2 linked regions of the Astyanax mexicanus genome follow. The protein of the gene in region 1 purifies or fractionates together with the protein of each later gene. This does not show direct contact. Links are inferred from orthologs where the notes say so. Each region holds a gene or a part of one and is shown on either strand. Other genes may lie near its edges.

The links.
Region 2: the proteins of eya4 (region 1) and dctpp1 purify together in Homo sapiens (affinity purification with mass spectrometry; 3 studies listed by BioGRID and IntAct, with this or other methods). This does not show direct contact. The link is inferred for Astyanax mexicanus from reciprocal best matches to the Homo sapiens genes EYA4 and DCTPP1.

What each region holds. Positions count from the first base shown.
Region 1 is NC_064420.1:44,139,690-44,152,925, reverse strand, and holds the start of eya4 (eyes absent homolog 4), read left to right. Parts: upstream 1-6,712; 5' UTR 6,713-6,849; intron 6,850-7,234; exon of another isoform or gene 7,235-7,437; intron 7,438-13,236. Other genes in the region: tbpl1 (TATA box-binding protein-like 1), read right to left, coding at 558-637, 2,899-2,993, 4,233-4,336, 4,472-4,535, 4,633-4,715, 5,083-5,226. UniProt on the Homo sapiens protein: Tyrosine phosphatase that specifically dephosphorylates 'Tyr-142' of histone H2AX (H2AXY142ph). 'Tyr-142' phosphorylation of histone H2AX plays a central role in DNA repair and acts as a mark that distinguishes between apoptotic and repair responses to genotoxic stress.
Region 2 is NC_064432.1:20,654,445-20,666,805, reverse strand, and holds dctpp1 (glutamyl-tRNA(Gln) amidotransferase subunit B, mitochondrial), read left to right. Parts: upstream 1-8,044; 5' UTR 8,045-8,318; coding exon 8,319-8,786; 3' UTR 8,787-9,339; downstream 9,340-12,361. Other genes in the region: gatb (glutamyl-tRNA(Gln) amidotransferase subunit B, mitochondrial), read right to left, coding at 384-506, 1,162-1,360, 5,809-5,922, 6,168-6,321, 7,379-7,539. UniProt on the Homo sapiens protein: Hydrolyzes deoxynucleoside triphosphates (dNTPs) to the corresponding nucleoside monophosphates. Has a strong preference for dCTP and its analogs including 5-iodo-dCTP and 5-methyl-dCTP for which it may even have a higher efficiency.

The sequences.
Region 1 (13,236 bases):
CTTTATTATAAAATACAAAATGGGAACATTTACATAAACATGTATGCTGCAGATCGTTTCACAAACCACCAGTTTTTTTGTTCAACAGAATGCAGTAATCAATATTACATCATATCCTATTTAATGTCTCTAGTGTGTTTGCCCTTTAACCTCTCTTTAATGATCTGACCTCACCTCTCAGCAGACATGGTTCCACTAAAACCTTCCTCAGCCTCGCTCTCTGTAAAACTCAGACATTTAAAAACAGACACTGATTTCCATCCGCAGATCCAGTCGGGTGATCGTGCACCAAAACAGCGCTTGATTAAAACGTAGATTCAGGAACTACACAATGACGACGAGGCCACTGTTCTGTAACGAGAGGTCAGAGTTCAGAGGGCAAACAGCTCAGGCTGTTCAGACCTGCTCAGACTCAGGCTGAAGAGGTGCTGTCTCTGTCACATACATTACAACAGTTTAAAGTCTTCAACACTTAAAACACTCATTCACTCATAAGGTGCTTCTTCATTTCAGACGGTGCATGTGTGGACGTGTGTGTGTGTGTGTGTCTCAGTTCTTCACATCAGTTTTTTCTGACACTCGAGCAGCAGAGGGTATATCTGTTCCACAGCCGAGGCGACACTCTGAACATTTGGTCCTGGAGAGAAAGTGAGAAGAGGATTAAAAGTTCATACAGGTCATCATCAAAATGCTAATATACTGTACTAGTGCATCTCAAATAGTTTTTTATATCATTGAAAAGTTACTTAACTTCAGTAAAATGTAAAAATCATATTATATAGATTATATATAGACCAACACCAGCAGATGACATGTCTCTCCAAACCATCACTGATCATCAGTAAATTTTACATTTTATTTGTAAATCAAGAGACCAGAGTCTGGAGGAGGAGTGGAGAGACACACAGTCCAAACTGCTTGAGGTCTAGTGTGAAGTTTCCACCAATCAGTGATGGTTTAGAGAGACATGTCATCTGCTGGTGTTGATCCACTGTGTTTTATTATCAAGTCTAAAGTCAGTGCAGTTTTGTTTTCCCACAAAATCTTACAGCACTTCATGCTTCCCTCTGCTACTGACAACTTTTATGGAGATGTGGATTTCGTTTTCCAGCAGGACTTGGCACACTGCCCACACTGCCAAAAGTACCAGTCGGTCTTATATAATATTCCAATTTGTTTTCTAGTTTAATTTAAATGTTTTTTGAGATGCACTAGAATTTTCAAAATAGAAACTTATTAGGAGAATGGAAAAAATGAAAAACTAAAATGTATTCAGTTCTAATCAGATTGCTGAGCTACATTCCCATTATAAGCCATATTGATAAACTCATATTTGTTTGCTTGCATCATAGATTTTTGCTCGCATTCAGAAATGTGACCTAAACAGGACTGGGCAATAATTTAATTTCATTATATATTGCAAAAATGAAACTCTTTCAATCACACTGATATGATTTTTTAGTTTTATGACATTTCAAATATTTTTATGTAGAATATTTACATCATCTGTTGCTGACTAACATTAATCACAGGTTCCATTTTTGAGATGTTTTCAGATACAGACATTTGTTTTGGGCATACCACCATTTAATGTGTTTTTTGTATCAATCAATGTATTGTGTATGCAATATATTGTATTGTATGCAATATATTGTGAGGTAAATTGCGGTCATATTGTCCATGCCTAGGCCAAATCCTTGTTAAAAAAAAAAAATACACAAATTAATGGCAAATCACTCATTACTATTTTGTGCAATAACTACTTTTTGTGGCACTAAATTCTTTAGACATCTGAATCCACTTTTTATCTTTGTAAAATTTCTCAACAACAGCAGATCATTTGGAATGGCCTAGTTTTATATTTGCAACTGAATTATTCAAAACTTTGAGCATTGCTCAATTATATACACAAAATACATTAATAATTTGCAATAATTTCGCTGTATATTATTCCACTAACTGTAGATAGAGAACTACAAGTAGAGAAAGCTGTGATCAGCGTTTAACAGGCTAAATCAGTGGGTAAGTCTTTAAGTTATGTGGTTAATGCTGTAATCGGGTTACCCTCCATATAAATAACACAGCAACAGCACTCAACAAAGACTTGACAAATCCTATGGAATTTTCCATACATTTTAATTGCATCTGTAGGCTATGGAAGGACTATTAAAGCCGATATAAGCCTTTTATATTCTGCTTTATGTTCAACATTGTTATTATACTAATATATGGCAAATCTCAGGACTTGACTGGATCAGCCTGACTTGGCAGGTTTTTTTTTTAATTCTGTCCAGTCATGCTGTTAGTTCATGACGCGTGATTCGTTGGCCAGGTTTCCAGCCGTGTTCCTGGAGTACTCATTGCTGGGGGCACTTTAGTAAAGCATTGTAGTATATATATAAACATTGTTTAATAAATATATTTAGTTCCTAACATTTTGCAAATATATTTATTTAATATTTATTTGTCTCCACAGACATTATATATGTATTATATAGGTGCCTTGTCAAAATAAGAAGAGAGTCCTATTCTTTTGGCAATATTTATCTAAAGGGAATAGACAAGCTGTGTTTATGTAAATGTGCACACCTGGGTGCAGCTTAAAGTAGATGTGTGCATTCATTAGAAGTGGTGTCCTTTTTTGCTGCCTGATAAAAATGCTGAATCTGCAACTGTTCTAATTTTAATTCAGATTAAAACTGCCCAAATATCATTTTTATCATTATCATTAATAATATCAAAAGATCATGTTAGAAATTTCTGTACTATTTTAATATTACAAGCATACCTATTGTACATCCCATATTAGTAAAAGTGGACATGTTAAAACAGGAAAATACAAAATATACAGTTCATAAGGTTGTGCAGGACCAGGGGTGGGACCTGTGTATTATTTACCTGTTACTGTGATGCTGCCAGTGGAAAACACTTGCACTGTGGCCCTGAGGTTTTTGATTCTATATGAAGCAGCTGGATGAATCTCAGGCTCATAGCTAAAGAAAACAAAACAACAAAATAGAAAATCTCATCAAACTCATGAAAAAAAAAATAACTTAAGCCCAATTCAAGATACACAGAAACACACATTTGAGCATTATTCTCTTAGCAACTGGTACTCTACCTAATCTTCCTACCAATAGAGGGAGCTATTACTCTTCTTATACAGTGATCTCCTTTAAAGCTCTTCTTCAGTCTATAAAAATAGTGGTACAACAACACAGCCTTGTGGCCTACATGCACTCTACATGTTACTGCATTATAAAAAAAAAAACACATTACAATGCAAAATGCACCGAGATGTCCTGAAATGTTAAGTATGTGGTGTATTTAAGGCATTAAGCCTTCAAACCCTGTGTATATATACTACATCCACACTTTACTCAATCCTTCACCATTAAAACTACACTACTACCAGTTTACACTAATTTCATAGGCCCTAAAATAGAACCCTGAGGAGCCCAGTTACCACATATTTTTTGAACAGTGTATGCATTACGTGTACAAATTAATTTAATCATTACTAAATCACTGAGCTTTTTTCCTGTAGTTTGTTTCTTCTGTCCGGGTGAGTACTGGAAGCATTTTCCCCTTTGGTTTGGTTAGTTTTCACACAGGCACAAACCTAAATGCACCAAAATGTGTCAACAAACCACGTGAGCATGTGGTCTCCTCTGATTGATCAGTGGTATCTGGCTCCTGAATGTATATATATAATATTTGGGTCATCAGGAGGATGGATCAGGTTCTCACCATAAGCACACCACTTCGGAGTTCGTTTGGAACCAGTTTTTTACACCTGCCGAAACAAACTGTACCAATGAACTAGAATTCTTTTTACCCAGCCTAAATACTGCTGGTGTGAAAACACCCTACCTCTATTGGGCAGTGCAGCTGATTATATTATTTGTTTTGCATATGTGTGCTCCAAGTACTCCAATAGTTGTTTTATTTGTTGTCAGTATCACAGTTTTAGAGTGTTTCTACAAATCACAGTACTGCAAATCAAATTGATCAACAACTTTCCCCTCTGGGATTAATAAAGTATCTATCTGTCTGTTTGTCTGTCTGTAAAAATGACTGGTCAAAATAATGCAATAATACCCTCCTTAACATTGTCATTAAAATTGAGTAATACATTTGGCAATGTAATACAATGGCATATCAGAATCACAATTAACTTAATGCAAGCATTCCTCAGAGACGTGTGTGTGTGTGTAAATAAATAGTTGTACCTGGCGATGGGACGGTTGTTCTTAGTAAACTCGATGAGACGGATCTGGAAAGGCATGGAGCAGACTGCCAGGACGTTTACAACCTTAAAGTCCGAAAACCTCACCTGCAAGAAAGAGAGAAAGAGAGAGAGACACATGTGTCAGATTGTTTACCAATAGAATACGTATTAACAAATTCATACTTCACAATACTAATATGTATGTGATTAATATGCAGGAGTAATAAACTAAAGGTAAACCTTGAATCCTATCTTCTGGAGGCAGCGAGCTAACCTTCTGGCACCGAGTTTTGCTTCATCCTCACTGTAGAGAAAAATTATATTTACATACAGGGCTTATTACATGCTTGTTATTTGAAAAATGAAGAAATAAATACATAACATTTCTTTCATTTTAAGACCTTGTTGCTCCAGTGCAAATGATTTTCCCTGATGACCATATGGAGGCAGTGATTCGAGGTTTCCGCAGCTTCATTAGAACTTTCTACAAGGACAAGAAACACAAGCAATGAATAATGAGGCAGATTGTCCACATTTACCACATCCAAGATATTGAGAAAACTGAATACCCGGTACAGGTGTGTTAGGTGTTGGGTTAAAGCTAGAGACATGATACTGCTGTCTACAGATAACAGATATCAAAACTCATTATATCATTGTTTATCTTCTCTATCATCTCTATCATCATTATTACCTATATCCTCATTTCCTCAAAAAAACATTTCAAGATGGGTTAAAACGTTAATTACAGACCTAAATCTGCACCCATCAAATCCTGATGCCAGTTCCTCTTTAAACTAATTAATGTATGAATCTCTAAATTATAACCAGTAGAATTTGCTGGAACTTACTCCCACTTCTGGTTTGTAGATGACGTTAGTGCCCTCCAGGCCGATGGTGCGCAGGTTCAGATGGCACCTCGTCCTGAAGACAGAAACCACGTTGGTAATGATGATGTCCAGCGCCACATCGTTACTCTGTTCCACAGGTTCCATTAAGCTTCTTTGGACGGAGTGAACTAGGCTTTTTAAAAATACATGTCCCTTTAAAATATAAAACCTGGTGGAGAAATAATGACAGACACACAGTTACGCTATACATTAATGATGGCATGGTAGTTGATGTTCCGTGACTGCATGTCACCCTGTAAGCATAGCCTACCTAATGTAGGTGGTAATTTGCCATCAGGAGGCCCTAATGGCTTACGGATGCTGTTGCCATTGGTGAACCTTCTGGAGCTGTCTGCTTCCTCGACACTTTTCCAAGCATTACAGAAGAGAGTTTTAATGCACTGCACTGGAAGTGTAAATGTTTGCAACCTTGCTAATTACCATTACTTCTGAGAAAATATATTAATATTGTTATTATAATATTGAAGGATCTACTAGAAACACCTTTGTTGTTCACCTGAATTGTTAGTTTGTTAGTCTCTAAAAACATCTAGATTATTAAATGCAGTATATTATCACTAAATAGTGTGAACATAGTCTACCCTAAAAAATTGAATAAAAAAAAATAATATCTAGCAGCATCTATCTGATTGACCATCTTAGATTTTGGCCAGTTTGATGGTTTATCTGACCTAAAAGCATGATCTTTCTCACTAAGCAAGGTAACCAGCATGAATTGAATTACTGAAATTAAGTAACTTTTTAATTATATTCCAATTTTAATACAGATGCATTTGTACATACATATTATATACAGCTCTGAAAATAATTAAGAGATTACTTTAGTTTCTGAATCAGTTTCTCTGATTTTGCTATTTATAGGTTTATGTTTGAGTAGAATTAACATTGTTGTTTTATTCTATAAACTACGGACAACATTTATCCAAAATTCCAAATAAATATATAGTCATTTACAGCATTTATTTGCAGAAAATGAGAAATGGCTGGAATAACAAAAAAGATGCAGAGCTTTCAGGCTCATAGTCATAACGTTTTAAGACTTCATAAATCAATATTTGGTGGAATAAGCCTGTTTTTTAATAACAGTTTTCATGCACCTTGGCATGTTTTCCTCCACCAGTCTTTCACACTGCTTTTGAATAACTTTATGCCACTACTTGTGCAAAAACATTTTTGAGTGGTCTCTTATTTTTTCCCAGAGCTGTAACGTTATACACATAACGTTATATATAAAATAACGCTAATGATATCAAACCCATATATCAAGCAATAAGAGGATGTTAAGGCCGTGAAAACTATTGAAATATTTTATTCCCTCATAAATTATAAAAACACCTGTGCTGGTGGACAACCGCGTTTCCATGGCAACACGTTGATTACCATTATTAGCGACAGTCGCTAACTCTGGGTGAGAGTTAAGTTAGTTGCTGCTAGTTAAGACACGACATACAGGTTTTTGAGGTGCAGCCGGATTTAGTAAATAAAAAAATAGATAAAAACTGACTAGTGTTAAATAAGGACTTGGTAGAGATTTTACACACAGACTTGAAGAAACTTACGCAAAATTGGTGCAACCCAGCCCTGGACTCCCGCACACCAACCCCTGCCAGCTTCCTCAGAACACTGTGAAACATTCACATTCATGTTTTCAGACTGTGGAAAAGCCTTAAAGATTTAACCAGCAACTCTTAAAGAAGCAGAAATAAGGTAAACCAGCCCTGTTTTTGCTCATTTTACCTTTAAAACAGCTAACTAGCTAGGTTAGCTAACCTAACGTTATGCTAAGCTAGGTTAGCTGCACTGTTTAACTAACCTAGATAAGCTAAGCTAGTCTGTTTACACTACGCATTTCCGCATTTCGCGCCTTTTTATGCAGCTTAGACTTTTTTTTACAGATATTCCTGCACTCTTAACAGCAGCAGATATTTAATAAGACCCCTAATTATCTAATTTATCTTTTCCACAGTGTGTGGAAATCAGCAGTTAGGCTAACTTAGCTTAGCTAACGTTACTAAGGCGTTACTAGCCAGCTAACGCTAACAGTGCATCCCTGCACTACAGCAGCATCAGCAGTCAGAAATGAAGCACTTACTCGTGGGCGGGTTTGGTTAAAGCGGGCTGAGAGCTGCTGCTGATATCTGTATTCAGTGTTAATGCTGTAAACGCCGCGTGTCTCTTTTAGCTCCAGGGTTTAATAAAAACAGCATAACACTGAACAAAAGGCTCCGGAGTGAACACACACACACACACACATACATACATACATACATACAGACACCCGGCTACTGTTGTCATCACCGTCATGTCCTGTTATGGTGCGGGGAAGTGAGGCCTGCTAGCAATGCAGCGCCATGCAGTGGACTCGGAGGGTTGCTGACAGTCACTTATGTTCACTATTCGTAAAACCGACATGTTTAAGTTATAGTTTAAGGAGAACTCCGGTGTAAAATGAACTTTTGGTGTAGTGAACATGATAAAAAGTACTTACCTTTGTTGAATAGCCCATCACCGCCCTCCTACAGCTTTCTGAGATACAGTAATTTTGTAATCTTTCTGTACAATGTCCGTATCTGGGCATATTTTGCCCCAATAAATTGCTTTTTACACCGTTATCCAGTCTTAAAGTAGCTCCAAGCCTCCTTGCTAGAATCCGTAAAGTTGTTATATCCTGACATTTAAAACAATGCATTAATAACTTTAAAAAAGTACAGGAGGATTTGAGATGTCCTTTGTTATAATTGTGGACTGTAAATGTGTAAAGATTGAATGTATGTTGTGTTCAATTCTATGTTCAATTAAAAAATATATATAATAATAATAATAAAAAAAGACCTCGACCAAAAAAAAGGAGAGCAGGAGCCAGGAGGCAGACTATGCGGAGTCTATGTGTATGCCTGTCATTGTCAGTACAGTAATGGTGGCACACGGAGCTAAAAGCTAGCAGCCCAGGATGTAAACATTGTTTAGTAATAAGCTTCTTGAGAAATTTTTAGGATGTTAATGCCTCGTTTTATTGTGTTTTTTTTTTTGGATTCTAGCAAGGAGGTGTGGAGCTACTTTGAGCCTGGATAATGGTGTAAAAAGCCCCGATACGGCCTTGTACATAGTACAAGGGGGCAAAAAAACACAAAAGCTGTAGGAGAGCGGAGGTGGGCTATTTAACAAAGGTAAGTACTTTTTATCATGTTTTACTACACCCAAAGTAAATTTAACACCGGAGTTCTCCTTTAATGCAAGCTATGCAGTACAAGTACTAGAAACAATCATGCTTTTATAATATTTGCAGACTGTAAAGCAAAAAAACAAAAAACATTACATTTTGGAGAAACAGAAGTAAAATAAGGAAATTGAGAGACCTCATAACATTACCTGTATTTTACAGAGATTATCTTATGTACACCTGTGAACACTTCTGAAACTAGGCTATTAAACCCAAAGTCCAAGCCTTTTTATATGTGGCATTGGCAAGGGAAAACTACCCTGAGAAGAACCACAGTCTGAATGCTCCTACAGTAAAGCTTAAGTAAGATTCTATAATCAAGGAACCCTGTGCTTAGCACTGCAGACTTTACTATTTTTAAAAATATCTGCATATTTACTAAAGCTCTGTCTGTACTTGTCTACTATTTTAATAAAGTTTAATTTTAAGAACGTATTTAATTTCGAAAATCTTCACAAAATTATGGTAAAACAGTGTCTCGGATTAGTAGAGGCCCAAATGTCTACAAATGTGTGCTTGGAACAGCAGATTTCACTTATATTACATTTTCACCATTAAACCAAGTGTACTAATATATTACACATTTTGGCTGTGAAAAAACGACTAGAGTCCTAAATCTAATCCCAGAATAAAACAAAATACTGTGCAAATAAATAAATTAATAATCAATGTCATGTTTATGTAATGTCTGATATATTTACCAGAAGAACCAATAGTTTAATTTCTGCATATCAATTTTAGGTTTACCAGTGATTGGTTAGGAATTGCTTTTATCTAAGCATACATGGTGCTTTCCTGAGGAGAGGTTTTCCAGGTGCTTCCACAGGCATGGCTTTTCTTAGGTAGCTGTTAGCCTAGCACACATACCTTCCTGCTTTTTGGGCTTTAGTTAACTGGTTTGGTGAGTTTGAGCTCCACTTCTGTAGACACTGGCACTGGAAAAGCTGCGGTCAGAATGGTTGAAGATGATTCAAATTTAGTAATCAATTTTCTTTTTAATAGAAACACAACAGTGTCTAAGGTTCACTGTTTGTCACTTCTATGTACGTAACAGTTATTGTTCAGCTATGCTAAGGAAAATAGAGATTTCTATTTTAAGGCACCTTACAAACATTGTTAAAATATTTGTGATTGGCTTCACCTGTATAATGAATTAATAATTACATGGGTTAATATCATCAGATACAGGCCAGACTGTATCTCTACAGGATGTAAACGTGTCTAAGACCGGTTGGCTGTAAAAAATTGCACTTTTGCCATGAATCCAGGGATTCGGGACGCGTCCAACACAGCACTTAATGAGGTTTGTGTTTGACACCCTTCCTGTGAAAGGCTGTGGCTGCAAGACACTCTTTATTCACGGCTTTCCACGGCTGTGTTTATTTTGTCCTGTCTCAGGTCCAGTTTTGGAGGTCAGCAGCTTTTTGTCCGAAGTGGACACATCTGGTCTGACTGCATTGTTTGTGGTTTGCGGTTTTTGGAAAGGTGACAGCGGGATCTAAGCAGTGGCCCTGACACGGCTGGGCCGAGAGACTGGTGCTGAGGGCTCTCAGCTGTTGTAGTGCACCATGAATGAGAGCAGAGTTAGAGTTTACTGAATGAACTCTGTCTGCCCGGACCCATGCCTCTGTTCTCACAGTTTAACTTTTAAACAGATGGTGAGCATGAGAGATTTGGGGATTTTGCTTTTATTTGCCCATCATTTGTTATTAGAATGTGTTTATGGAGACATATCAAGTTCACACAGTGCATTGCTAGCGTTGGATGCACTTGTATCTCTAGATCTGAAATTGTGAATTACCGAAATGACAATGTTCTCAACTTTAAAATGACCATGGTTTTTCCAAGCAATTTTGGACCATTTCTGGTTGTTTATTAAGAGTTTAGACCAAAGACTGTAGAAAACATGAACATAATTGTTCTATTCAATTGGTAGACCTAACGTCGTTTCCCCAGACCAATAATATTTCAGAATTTAGTCTATTGGAGCAGAAACAAAGCACCTTTTTTCCACTGGATGTTCAGTTTGTAATGTTTCAGTGAAATGTTTCAACAGAAAAGATGCAGTTTACACTACAAGTTCCACTACAACCCTGCTAATACATGTAATGTACAGAAACACCTCTAAATAAGTAATTTTATTCATACGTGTATCCCCACATTTTACAGCATAGCAGAATACAGATTTTAAAACTGATTATTGGGGGAAAATGTAAAAAAAAATTAATATATGGACAGGACAGATAACTGTTGGAATTGGATACTGGACATGGAAATACAGTTTAGAGGAGAAAAATGATGGCAATGGCAATGGGTGGAGCTACACATCATACTGCAACCAGCCAGCAGAGGTGCACCTGTGGTGGCTTTACTTTAGGAGATGCTGTCCATGTTTTCTACAATCATTGAGGCCAACCATTTGTTGGATCCACAAACCAAAGCCTTATTCTATGGCACCTTTGAAGTTTAGCTTTTTTAAATTAATGTTTTTTCAAAAAATGTTTTTTAAAGAAAAAAACTAAATGTAGTAATGAGTTGAGTTCGAAAATTTACCGAAAAAACACATTCTTCTTCTCCATCCTCCCCTCTCTCTCTCTCTCTCTCTCTCTCTCTCTCTCTCTCTCTCTCTCCCTCTCTCTCTCTCTCTCTCTCTCTCTCTCCCTCTCTCCCTCTCTCTCTCTCTCTCTCCCTCTCTCTCTCTCTCTCTCTCTCTCTCTCTCCCTCTCTCCCTCTCTCTCTCTCTCTCTCTCTCTCCCTCTCTCTCTCTCTCTCTCTCTCTCTCTCTCTCTCTCTCTCTCTCTCTCTCTCTTCCTGCACTGGACATTTCCCAAACACAACAGCACAATAGCTTTGGAGTGATTCAGTGCTGTTGTTTGGGTCCTCCTTGGTTACCAGATAGGCTTTGTGAAATCTCAAGGGCCACTCTGGCAGAAATATACTGATGTAAATAAAATAAATTCTGCTTGGAAAGCCCTGTAGAGATGTCCCGAGCTGTTTACTATAAAGCCTGAGATTTAAAGCAGGTTAGTCCAGTGTCGGACCACAAGCGTTGTCCCCCCTCCGACCCCCGCCCTCCTCCTCCCTGCCGCTGCAGCCTTCAGAGTCTTAAGAGTGTTTATAGACTATAAAATAGAACTTAACGTCATTGAAATTCTCTTCCTGAGAGAAATAATGCAGCGTTCATTAAGATAGAAGATACATAAACAGGCAGCAGAGAGAGTACACATCCTCCATCACTCCCTCTGCTCCTTCTGCTCCTCCGAGAGTTCAGCCCAACGACTGCACTCTTTCTTCTCTCTTCTATTGTCTTCCTTTTCATATATCCTTTTGTTCTCTTATCTTGTTCTATCTGTTTTCTTCTCTTCTCATATTTTCACTTCTCTTTTCATCTCTTCCTTTAAATTTCTCCAGTTGTTCCTTCTTCTTGTTCTCATCTTGTTTACCCTTTTTATTTCTTTTCTTTTTCTTCTTCTTCTTCTCTTTTCATTTCTTTCCTTGTCTCAGTTGTTTTCTTCTTCTCTCTTTTTCTTTGTTCCTCTCTCTACTTTTCTCTTCTTTTTTCATCATTTTTTACTTCTCATAATTTTTACTTGCTTCTCATCTTCTTTTTTTCTTTCCCTTCTTTTTTTCTCTTTTTTAACTTTTCTTTTTTCTTTCTTTTTTCATCTTCTGTTGTGTTTTGGTCTCCTCTCTTATGTCTTATTTTTTTACATCTCCTCTTTTAACCCCTGTTCTTTTTTATTCTCTTCTCATTTATTCTCTTTTTCTTTATTCTCTTATCCTTTTATTCTCCTCACCTGCTTAACTGACCATCTCTCCTGACCTCTTCCTTCTTTATTGTCTTCTCCCTTCTTTCCTGCAGAGGAATGACAGTCTTTGCTGTAAGACTAGCATCCTCAGTTAGCAGATCCATACTGAAGATCAATCTGAGGAGGTTCTTGAAATCCTAGCAGACAATTTGAATGCAAAACAGCAGTTATTGGCTTCATTCTGCACTGTGTCCATATTGTGTTTGTGAAGAGAAGGCCACGGGTCAGGCAGGGCTTTGGGAATAGCAGGTTAGCAGGCCTGGGTTTGTACGGGAGTGTTTAGGGTTAGCAGAGGGGCTGGAGGGCCTGAGTTTCCGGAGCCCTTCAGAGCCCTTATAAAAGTGAATCAAAGGCATCTGGACGCCTTGTTGTCTGGTGTGAGAGTGGAGACATTTGGATGCCATGTCGTATTAAAGGTTGTTTGCTCGGCTGGACGCATTTCTGAGGTAATGGGGGTAATCTGTAAACAGGGCGGAGCGGAGCATGACCCAGCTTTGGTGTTTATGTTGGGCTGACATCACAGGAGCCAAAAACTGGGAACGCAGCACCAAAACGCTACCCAACTGCATTCTGGGTAACTACTAGTTTTGGGGAGGCACTGGCTGAGGACATGCAGATTTGTGTATATGCAGATGTTTGTGTTGTCTTCATGAATGGGGGCAAGAATTTTAAGCAATAGTATTCTGGAGTGGGGAAGGGAAAATATTCTAATAAATATTCTAATAAATGTCAGCAATGTGCCTTCTGTTACCATTCTTGCAAAACCAAATATATTCATTCTAAAAACAGGGTATCTGGTAGGCTTTTCTTGCCATTGTAACACAGCAACTTGGGCACTGCTAATGGCACTGATACCAGAGATGGTATCAGAATGTCTGATTCAGTCTTTATCTGCTCATTTACATATCTGTAAACCAACAAAACACAGAATTAGAACTGAAGAAAGCCGGCAAGCTAAAAGAGAGAAAGACAGAGTTCTTTCTAAAATCGGCAGATTTATCTGCTCTAAAAGGAGACCACACCACAATGCACATTTCAAAAGTACAGATGCTCAGTGTATCTACA
Region 2 (12,361 bases), on another chromosome or scaffold:
CCTTTTGATTAAACTGGGACGCTTGAATTTCTCATTATGGGAAGACAACGGTTGGACTGGGCCGTGACAAGCTGCAACTAGATGAAGGAGAAACCAATTATTTACTCTCTTTAAGATTCCAGTGTGATCTGCTTCAAAACCACACCACACACTGCTTCTGCTTCTCACACACACACACAAACAAACACACAAACAAACACACAAACAAACACACACCCTGCAGCAATTAGATATCAGTGTTTTAGTCAGCCAGTCAGCATCTGTCCTTAACAATTATTCTGCAGTACTACATTCCACCCACTGGCCACTTTATTAGAAACTTGGTCAGACTTTAACACACAAGTTATTGTGTGTGTGTGTGTGTGTGTGTGTGTGTGTCTAACCAGACATGTTCCCCTGGCAGGTGTCGAGGGCCTGTAGAATCAGCTGGAGCTCTCTCACTGCCGCCGCAGCTTCATCACCACAACTCATATCCGCCTCCATCACCAACTCCATCAGACCCACACCTAGAGAGAGAGAGAGAGAGAGAAAGAGAGAGAGAGAGAGAGAGAGACAGAGAGAGACGATAAGAAAGAGAAAGCAACAGGCGTAGAGAGAAAGACAACAAGAGTGTCAGAAAGTGAGAAAGAAAGAGAGGCGGAGAAAAGGTAAAAAAGAACAGAGGAAAGTGCAGAAAACAGTAAGAGACAAAGGGAAAAAAAAGAATGAGAACAAGGCAGAAGAACATACAGAAAAGAGCAAGGGAGAGATAAAACAATAGAAAGAAAAGGCATGAGAAAGAAATGAGATTGAGGGAGAGTAAGAGGAAGAAAGAAAGAAAGAAAGAAAGAAAGAAAGAGTGCAAAAGAGAGCAAGTTAAATAGGACATAGGTAGCAGAGGAAATTGGGAAAGTGGAGAAAACAGAGAGAGAACAAGCATGAAAGGAGCATGAGAAAATAAAATAAGCGAGAGAGAAAGAGAGGAAAGAGAGAGAAAACACACAGTGAGAGAAACAGCAGGAGAGAAGGTGAAAAAAGAGGGAGGAACAGAGAGAACAGATGGAGAGAGAGAAAGAGAGAAAACGTTATGGAAATAAAAGAGTGTACAGATTGAACAGGTGATGTTCTTCTTTTATTACAGTCTGATTCTCTGCATGGTGGGATTAAAGCAGCAGGCCGTACCTGCTCTGTTCAGGTCTATCAGAGTCTGGCTGTTCTGCTCGTCATGCAGACTCTTCCCGCTGTCCTGCTCCAGCTGGATCTGTTTGATCCTGACACGCCTGCTCATCACCTGACCCCTCTTCTTCCCTCCTAAGTAGCTGTAGTTCAGTAACCCATTCACTGCAATGGGGAGTCTCTGCTGGGTGATCTGGTAACCTGCCTGAGAGTGAACACACACACACACACACACTTTATAATCTGAAATACCGTGCTCATGTAATATAACTAGGTAGAGGCAGAATAAGGTAGAGTAAGGTAAAGGGAGGTATAGTAAATGAATGAGGTAGAATGAGGTAGAGTGAGGCAAAATGAGAGAGCGAGGTAGAGAGATGTATAGATTGAGTGAGGTTGAGGTCCACAGTGAATGCACACACTAACAACTTCTTATATTATGGAAAAATTAGTGCAGTCAAGCAGTTGTCTCTAAAAACTAATTTTATTTTAAAATCCTTTTTATTGTGCTTCACATCAATATCAGGATATTCAACAGCGTTTTCACACATCACAGTTTTTCTCCCTAATCTGAAACAGTCCAGCCACATTTTGTTCAGTGTCATTTCAATTACTCTGACTTTAATTAAAACACTTTGGCCAAAGGCCCAATCCAGCACAGAAAGTTCCAACTGCAGATCCAATTCCATCCGAGGAATTTGTTGGAATTGACACGGATACAATCCTGCCATATGGGCACTTAGGCTCTGACAGATAAAAAACATGGCTGTCAGGATGTTTACAGCAAATTAGCTGGATTTTAGCTGCAATTGCTTTTTGGAAAGACAACCATTTTTGGTTGCTTTTAGATAAAAACTGCAACTGCAAATAAAAAAACCCTTAATATTTCATTTTATTGTGGATAACATAAACCCAAAATATACAGCTCCTGAAAAATTTAGAAACCACTTCAGTTTCTGAATCAGTTTCTCTGATTTTGCTATTTATAGGTATTTGTATAAATAAAATGAACATTGCTGTTTCTTTAATTTTACAATTTTACTACAAACATTATTTATCCCAAATTCCAAATAGAAATATTGTCATTTAGAGCATTTATTTGCAGAAAATGAGAAATGGCTGAAATAACAAAAAAATATGCAGGGCTTTCAGACCTCAAATAATGCATTATTTAAAAAAAAATCAGATTTTTAAAAATTTTAATAGTTCAGAAATTAGTATTTGTTTGAATAACCCTGGTTTTTAATCACATTTATGCATCTTGGCATGTTCTCCTCCACCAGTCTTACACACTGCTTTTGGATAACTTTATGCCTTTACTCCTGGTGCAAAAATTCAAGCGGTTCAGTTTGGTTTGATGGCTTGTGATCATCTATCTTCCTCTTTATTATATTCCAGAGGTTTTCAATTTGGTAAAATCAAAGAAACTCTTAATCTTTAAGTGCTCTCTTATTTTTTTCCAGAGCTGTATTTCATGCTTTTTCTTTATATAAGTCAGAATAAGTCAGGACTACAGACTTTTACAACCAATTTTGTATTGTTTTGTTAAAAAAACTAAATGGACACCCGTCTTGAAGGCAGCACATGGTAATATAAATCATTATTAATATTGACTTATTAAAATATTTTTGTAAATGAATGCAGTACTGATTGAAAACATAATATTCTGAGACTTGATATACTGATATTTTCTTACACCTCTAATCTAAAAACCTGTATTTTGTTCTTTAGGCTGTTTGGTCTTCAGTTAATTTGGTCTTTAGCTCGTTTGGTCTTCAGAGAAAAGATCCTACACCACTACTACACACTGTTCCCATAGCAACTCCTCTGCTATTCCACAAAAACAAGAAACAAAAAAAGAGGGGGAAAAAGGAGAGGATGATCATTAATCATAGTTATTGGCGTGCCAAAAGAAACAGAAAACATATACACAGGGAAAAAAGACACCGCCATCTGTGAAATCCACCAAATCAATTAATTTATTACTGGAACCAACAAAAACAAACGCAACTGAGCAGTGGAGAAATTGGATTTGCGAGGCTGAGGCGATGGATGAAGGAGAGTAATGATACACAGTTTTTTGCTTTATTGTCCCTCAGGATGCTCTCCTCCAGATTTAAATGGGAAAATCATCAGTGGTTAGTGAATGCAGGAGAAAACATCCACTTGGGGTATACTGGATATCTGTACTGCAGCCAAATAATAAGCCAGAAAAATAAAACATGGACTACAACACAGTCGATAACCGGGAAATTATTCTAATGGTGCACAACTCTACTATTGAGCAGGATTAGATGTTATCACACCTGAAAGTGCAGTCCAGAGTCTGGACCGAGGTTCATGTATGTGTTGCATCATATTTTGTACATTTAGTCCAGTTAGTTTTGGTTGAACACTGTAGTTAAGTGACTTTACTACATCCTGATATCATCATGCTAGCATCATCATGGGTGGAGTCTCCTTGTACTTCACACTGATTGGTTTGTAGACGGGTGTCAGTTTAACATGTTGCCTTTACAGATATTGAGGCTAATTCTGCCTTCCTGACACAATTTTACTTCACGTAAAGTTTCAGTTTAATCTAATCTATGAGCTAATGGGTTCAGGCTGACAGCTGATTTTGTCACCAACAATTTGTTGTGCTTGCTGAAAAGTATTTGGACATGGTCAAATTGTTTTTTTTATAATGCTGCCATGATCTATAGTGCATTCAGCCAGTTCATTAGAAACACCGTATGGCTGCGACTAATATTATTGGAGAATACACATTAAATTTTCCAGATATCTGATATTTTTCCACCACTAAAGCCCTTAACTCAAAGATGTTGTCCATTTTCCTGCCTACTCTCATTCATTTAACTGTGTAATTCTTCTTTCTTTTTTACTTCTTCTTTTTAAAAGTCACATGAATTCTGATCTGGCTGTTCAGACTGAGTTGTATTGCCACAAATCAAATATAAATTGGCCTAATTCGAAAATTTAAATACACGATCAAGTGTGCTTTTTGCTGTTTACACTGCCACACAAACGACATCCCTGTGCCACATATAACATAAAAGATCAGATTTTGGGCCACATTTACCTGCTGTGTAAAGTTCTGTATGCAAAGATGTACAATCTCCATTACCCTTTTTTAAAATCTTGATAAATCAAAATAATTCTATTAACCTCCCTGTCCGAGATAAGGGCTGTGTAAATGTATTACTATAAAAAAAAAAAAACCTAAACTATCGGTTTAATTGTGACAGAGATGCGGAGGCTTTATCCAGGCTTTGTGTCAGAATTAAAGCGGCAGTCACGCTGAACGTTTCTACCAGCTCTAATAACATGGCTCGGCACCCTGGCAGCTAATCCACACGTCTAATTACAGTCAGTGTTCTTCAGCAGAGCTTCAGGACACACGGACATGCTTCACAAACGCCACTCTAATTCCAAACCACTGCTGGGGTGAAAACCAGTCAGGGGCCTGCTGGTACTGGAGAATTGGGCAGAAACTCAGCACTTTTCCTCACGTATGTTTGAAACAATATTTGACACTTATTCTCGCTTTTTCTGCTAGTTATCAGCACAGCAGCGGGGCTGTCACTGCTTACCAGAAGTCTTTACTGCCTCTCAGGGAGAAAAAAGACCAGCAGGTAATCTTATTAGAACATTTTTAATCAACTGGTCACACTGCAACGCTGAATGCACTGCTTTAGATATTGGAAGAAAAAAAAAGAAACCAATTCTAGAGTTAATTTAGTCTGTAAAATCTCAGAACTGCTTTTAGTTCAACATACAGTATGTTGGAATTACACTTTATTGCTACTTGATTTTTAAACATGCTTTAAACACACTGTAAATATTATATACCAAATGTAATTGGACAGGAAGTAGTATTGTGTCCCATGACTTTTGTCATGTCCTATGGAAGGTAAAGAACACTACACTGACCTGTGGGATGTGTGTGTGGTGACTCCTGCATTGATTTTAGTCATGCAGGTTATGCTGGTGATGATAGTGAACATCTCACGATACGATAATATTTGTTATTTGATGAAACAATGATGATTGTTTTTTTGGCATATTAACAATTATATTTTCTAACATAATTAAAAATAAAAAAGCTGCAGTTAAAAAGTAATTTTACCTATTTTTTATTGTATCCTATTTTGGGTGAAAGGCTAGCATGTGTCTTCTCATACATGCAACATGCAAATTCAGCCACCTCAGCCATTTCTGCCGGTGTTGCAGAAATACCGGGTATCCAGCGCACTCCCAGGAAAGTGCAGCAACCCAGCTCTTATACATCAGCTAACAGACGCCTGTGCTGACCAACGTTACATTGGGAGGGATGAGGGGACAGAGCGCCAATTAACCACCCAGAGAGAGCAAGGCCTATTGTCCTCTCTCGGACTCCGGCTGCTGATGGCAAGCAGCATGATCCAGGATTTAAAAACAGCAATCCTCAGATCACAGGGGGAGCATAAACTACACCTCGGTCCACTGGACCACTCAGAGCCACCAGGCATGAGTTTCAACAGGTTCTACTGCTACATTTGCCATGTTTGTGCCAAAGTCCTTCCACAAATGCTACAAACATACTCACACAGTTTGCTTTGTAGTATACACAATCATTAGATTTATATTCTTCATAAAATAAAAAAAAATGCTCACAGGCATATCAGCGTAAAAGTAGTGCTTCCTGTCGAAAAGAGACTTCCTGTTAATGGTGCAGTTGAAGGCCAGGCCCGTTATCACTGCTGCCTCCACACACCTTTTGTTTAGCACCTAAACAAATACAAAGCGCAGACAACACAGACTTAGTACCATGGTAAAATGAAAATTCATGACTTCTTTTATGACTAAGGTTAAATACTGAACATTTCATTAGAATTTTAGTATAAAAAAGATACAATTAATCATTATACAAAGAGATATTTGTGCTCTAAAATGCTCTAAATTACATAATTAGAATTGTTTCAATATTTCTATATACAGAATCTCTACCTTAACCTGAAAGCTCTAAAACCTACCGGAAGAGTTCCAGGCAGAGAAGCATCTAAAAACGCCACTGATGAATTGGGTGGGCTGTAGAAGGTCACGCGTGAGCTGGAGAACAGTTTAGAGTTCGAGTGGATCTGTGCATGGATCTCCAGCCCAACGACCCCACACAGCTGAGGGGAAATACTAATGAATCAGAAAAACAGTCTGTTATTATATATATTATATTAATATAACAAATTACAACAACCTTGCAATAACAAACAACATGTTAAGGGTTTTGGAAGTCCTGATAAAACATTAATTAGCCAGCATGCTAATGCTAGTGATATTAGGGAACATAATGATACAGTGACCGTCCCCTTTAATGCCGCCTTCTTGTTTTTATACTTTAGTATAAAAACATGTTGTTTTTTTTTATATGTTTTTTAATTTAGTACAGTATTTAGTATATGTCACTTAGGGACTTTATGAGTTTATGACTAAGAAAGTGCTGTAAGGAACTTATCTTAAGTCACAATCTTGACTTAAGCCTTTATCTGAAAGAGGTAGAATCAAATGATCTGAGCAGCTGAGGGTGTAGGAGATTTTACCAAAGGTGGCCATACAGTATCATACGGACAGAATTTAGGCAAAAAGACAATTTTGCCAAAAAATGATTTTAAGTAATTATTTTAGGAGGGTGACAATATGTAACTGATGTTTCAAAAGTCAGTATCTTTGAAGAGCGTGTTTATAGTCCTCAGTCTCTATAATTTAGTTTTAATTTGTTTAAGAACGATTTGGCTGGAGACAAATTGCTGGTCTATAACCATCCTGCATCTTGTTTTCCTCAGTTTAGACTTTACAACATTTAAAACTCACCAATAAATTGTGTTTCTTATTGTCAAGCCTTTCATTAAACATATTATAAATTACAGATTTAATATGTATATTTATATATTACTGTAATCTATTACTGTAACGAATAACCTGACTTCCTGAGAATGATAACAGCATAATAGGAGGTTTATGGGAGATTTTACCACAGGAGAAGATTTAGGTGAAATATTCAAAGCTAATTATTTTAGGAACAATATTCATGTATAACCTGCTACAGTAATAGAAATACTGTCACGCGTTTTTAAGCCACAGTATAAAGGGTTTCACAGTAAAACACTGTGGGTCTGGTTTCTTTATAAAGCCCATTCAGACCCTGATGACCCCTGGATGAGAAGAGGAAACACTAAACCCGCTCTCTTACCGGTTACTCTGAGTGCTGGGCTGAATCTGTCGTGCGGATCCAGATGTGCACAGACTGCTGATCGAGGGGTTACACAGCTGAACACCGCAGACATGTCTAAATCTCATAAATCCACACAATCTCTGCACTACTGCGCTGTGTCCCGATGAGGAGGCAGCCATTGCTGAGTGTTTATAACGCGGGGAGATCTGGGAAACCGAGTTCTTAGCAGCTCTGTGGAAGAGCGACAAGCGCAAGAGCGAAGTTCCTGAGAACTACATTTCCCACAATGCAACAGTACCACCCCGCGTATTGACGCATTACGTCGGGATCCCACGTGCGAGAACCGAATCTTACTGTGCCTGGATATGTAAAATTAACAGATTAAATAAAAAATCTAAAACTCATTTGTGAACCTGTTTAAAATATATATTACTGTACCAGGAGATATATTAATAGTACCTTCACCTTGAATCTTGAGTTAATAAAGCAAGAGTCTTCTTACAAAAATAATAATTTTAGTGTTAAGTACGTTTACAGGTGAATACTTTTATTTAATAGGGAAGGACTAAAAATAGAGTACATACTCTTTTCTTTTTAGGATTCAATATATTTTAGGTTAACTGGAATAATCTTTTAGCCGTATCTACGGCTCTGATAAATACACACGTGAATCCCGCCTCTTCCTTGGTGATGCACTTTCATCATTTCCGTCGCACAGGCAGAGTTGGCGGGAGATTTTCATGTGCTGCAGTGCTGAGTCTGCTAATAATGCCAGTTTAATTGTTTATTTTTTTATTTTAAAAAGCATTTTGTTTTATAATCATTTAGCATTGAGGCAGTGGGTCAGTTTCTCTCTTTTTCACTGTGAAAACATAGGTAGAGTTAGTTGCCCATTGCGCGTTTGTTTTGAATCTGTTATTTTACCTCTTTTTAATCACTAAAAGTAAACTCCGTGATCATGGAAGCTCAGCAGAACGGAACCGCCCGCGTTAACGGAGCGGCGCGGCCCGCGGAGACCCCCGAGCAGCGCTCCGACCCGGAGGGAGGGCAGTTCAGCTTCAGCGCCGAGCCGAGCCTGGAGCAGATCCGGCGGCTGCAGGCCGAGTTCACAGAGGAGCGCGACTGGAGCCAGTTCCACCAGCCGCGGAACCTGCTGATGGCGCTGGTCGGGGAGGTGGGCGAGGTGGCGGAGCTGTTCCAGTGGCGCGGGGAGGTCTCCGAGGGCCTGCCGGGCTGGAGCGACTCCGACCGGGAGAAGGTCGCCCAGGAGCTCAGCGACGTGTGCATTTATCTGGTGGAGCTGGCGGAGAAGTGCCGGGTGGACCTGCCCCAGGCCGTGCTGCGGAAGATGGAGCTCAACCGGAGAAAATACCCGGCCAGCAAAGTGCACGGATCCGCGAAGAAGTACACCGAGTACACGGACTGAGGCTGGCCGGGCTACACGCATTCTCACCTGGCTACACGCGGCTGGAGAGCCCCTGCTCTGAGTTACAGCCGCGGAGCTGCTTGTGGATAAGCCCTGAATCCCCTTTGCTTCAGCAATCAGTCTTTTATTTTAAATCTATCCTTTTTTATTTAGGACATGATTTTATCTCGTTTTTTGCACGTGTGTACAGACCTGGTAAAGGAACTGTGGGGGATAACTTTGGGACTTTTGCACTTGTTTCATCACAAACGTGCCAGTTTCGCCCTGTTTGAACAATCAGTACTATTTTATTTTTTTAAATCTTTGCTCCAAATGGTTGATTTTGACATTTGGTCTACTGTAAATGACTCAAGAATATTTGTTCACTGTCCATATTTGAGTAAGAGCCAAAAAGCATGTTACTATATTTTATGCCTTCGTTGGAATATAAAGAAATGGTTCCTAGTCTTTATTTTCACCTGAAGTGCAACGTTCACCCCTTTTGCTGCCACTAAAAAAAACTACACTTAAGGGTAAAACAAAGGTTACCAATAAACTGTTTTGGTTCTTTACAGTTTAGAGTTTTCTTTGTTCTATAATCTGGTTTAAAGCTGCTCAGCAGAAACACATTTTTGGTAAAAACCGATGATTTTAACCAAGTGATATTTTAAGAAAAATAAGGGTAAATTGTTTATAATGGTTTAAAAAAGACTGAATATTGTGTACAAACAAACGTGTCTGTCGTACAGTCTTAATTCTCAAATACTATATTTTTTGTTATTTTTTAAGCATTACTATGGTTCATTTTGTGGTGTAAAACGAGCTGGGAAACAGGGCACATCAATACTAATTAGAGGTGTGACGAGAAAGAAATATATTATTAAAACTCACAAAATGCAAAAGTGCAGGTGATTTAAAAAGAATGGATATTTAAGTAATTATCATGTAATTCTGATAATTAAGGTTTACTCGTACTTATAATGGATTAGGTATGATTTATCAAATGCAGTGAAAACGGAGCCCAAGACATACTCTAATTATGTCCGCTTAGGGTCAAGATATAATATATAAATATGTTAAAATAACATTGAATAATACAAAGTCGTATTACACATATAAAGTGATTTTTATATTATTTTTGTAGTTGGCACTCCAATATTAGGTTAATAGATTCTGCTGTTGGCTGCTGCCACTGTAGCTAAGCAGCTCTGTGGTGGATAATAACATACTTAGCTAATAATGGGAGAAGTGAAGAATTTTCTCTCTGGAGCAGAGAAAAGAAAAAAGAAGCTTGTGGAAGAGAAAAAAAATTGCAGGATTAAGGTAGGTTTAAATATTAAACTTTAACAATAAGTTTCCTCATCATTAACCAATTAGGCTTCCGTTCAGTTTCTACTGTGAATGTTTGTTAGCTGGCTAGCTAACAAAAAGCCCTTTAGCTAGCATTATATATGCTACCAAATAAAATAAAATGTAAGCTGTTAAATATATAAACTTAGGTTATTAAAGATATCAGGACGGTTTAGTATATTCACTTTTACCTTATTGTAGGTTACTTACACTTCTAATGGTGCTGTAATAATGTCGGTTTATTCCTCTTCTGAAGTTAGCTAATGCTAACTCTCCGGTACTTCAGGAATACAGCAGATATATTATGATTTTCACGCGGATGTTTGTTTGACTTAACATTATTTGTTTTTTAAAAAGCTGTTAATATTTAGGGCTCAATTGTTGTTTTTTTAAACAACTAAATGTGTAATACGCAGTAAACTCTGGGTTAAATTGGAGAAAAATGTAATAAAAATAAAACAAGCTGTGCCAAGTAAATTATCTAAAAGCTCTCAAAGTATCAAATTACACCAAACGGTTAAGAATACACTGCCTGAGTTTTAAGGATTTTTTAGGTGTGAAACCTAAATATAATGAACCCTCTATAGCATACCTTATTTATGTATTTAACTTATATATTTTATTTTAAATATAATATTACAAGGCATACCTGCGTATCTAAGTTACGTCCAGTACTATGAGGCGTTAAAGTACCAAGTTCATAAATAAAAATATGTATATATGCAAGAATATATGAAGAAGTATATTTGTCTTACTATATTCATACATTCTTGTTGTAAGCTTGCTAGAACTATATATATTAATTTGTCGCCTTGTTAAGGCAATGTTACGTATATGTCGTTTATCACATTTTAGTTAGGGCCGTCATGATAAGACAAAGTCTCCAAAATAATTATTTTTTCTCCCCAAAAATACAATTAATTAGAGGGTTAAAATAGTGGACAAGTACATGCAGGGCTTTGTGTGTATTTTAAATATATTTTTTTTCTTCATTACAGCAGCTTACCTTTTACTGTAAAGACAGCTGGACTATGTTGTCTTGGTGCTTTATCTGAAATGGAAAAAGGTTTGTAGGTTTTCTAGTTTCCGAAGTGTCCACAGATGTAAACACTTGTGCTGTAAATACAATACTATCTGTAACATCCAGGAAAATGTTTGAGACGTAGCAGAAATAGAATATTGTTTTTATAATTAGGTCGTGTTTATCAGTGCTGTTAACAGATGAAAATTATCCTCGCTCAGCTCATCTGGAGACACTATTTCCTCACTTTGCTTTTAAAAAAAAAGATTATAAAAGCAAGTTAGTTCTCACAGTTACTATAGTTACCTTAAACATGGCGGTTTTGTGATGTTATGCATAGTACACACGTCTGTCAACGACCTATAGCATGTTTGATAGTTAACCTTATGTCATGATATACACAGAAAATCATCAGTAAGAGTTGAAGGGTTGTTCAGCTATATTTTTAATTTTACCTGGCCAAAGGTGAACACATTATACACATCCACAATGTGTATAAACAGCCACAGGAAAGAAAAGTGTATTTTCTGCTGATGTTACTTTCAAATAGATTAAATTAATATACCGCACTGTATTTAAAAGTGAATACTAATTTGAAAATATTTGTGAGCTTGCTACACAATAGCCAGAATAACACGACTATGATGAAATCTAAATAAAATCAGTACTAATGGTAGTGGGTGGGTATGATACACACACAGTGTATCTTATGGAATAATGAGTAATCTGGTGTTGAGGCGGTGGTATGATGGGGGCCCAAATGAAATTCTGCTTAGGGCCCTGTAAAGACTTGGGCCAGCCCTGAGTAAAATACAGAACAGTGTGCAGGTACTGCAGCTGGTATAAAATCAACAACTTCTCTCCTGTATGATCTCTCTGTGAGTGTATGAGTGTGTGTGTGTGTGTGAGTGTGTCTGCCCTAAAACTCATCTGCTTCTGTACAGGGTTGGAGCAAGCAAGGCTGATACAAGGTTTTTGCGGATGATGCAAACGTTACTGGAGTATGAAGGGTGAGTGTAATTATAATAGTTAAATAGCCCCTGTTTCCCATTCATAAGTGTGTTATTAGTGATAGAAACAGTGAATTTTGGGTCTTGGGAATGTTGAGTGTTTCTAATGCCAAATGTAGAAGAAACAAGACACTGAGTTTGGATAGAAATTACATGAGTCATGCCACCCAGTCATTGTAATAATTAATATGTTTATTGGAAAAGGCAGCAATATA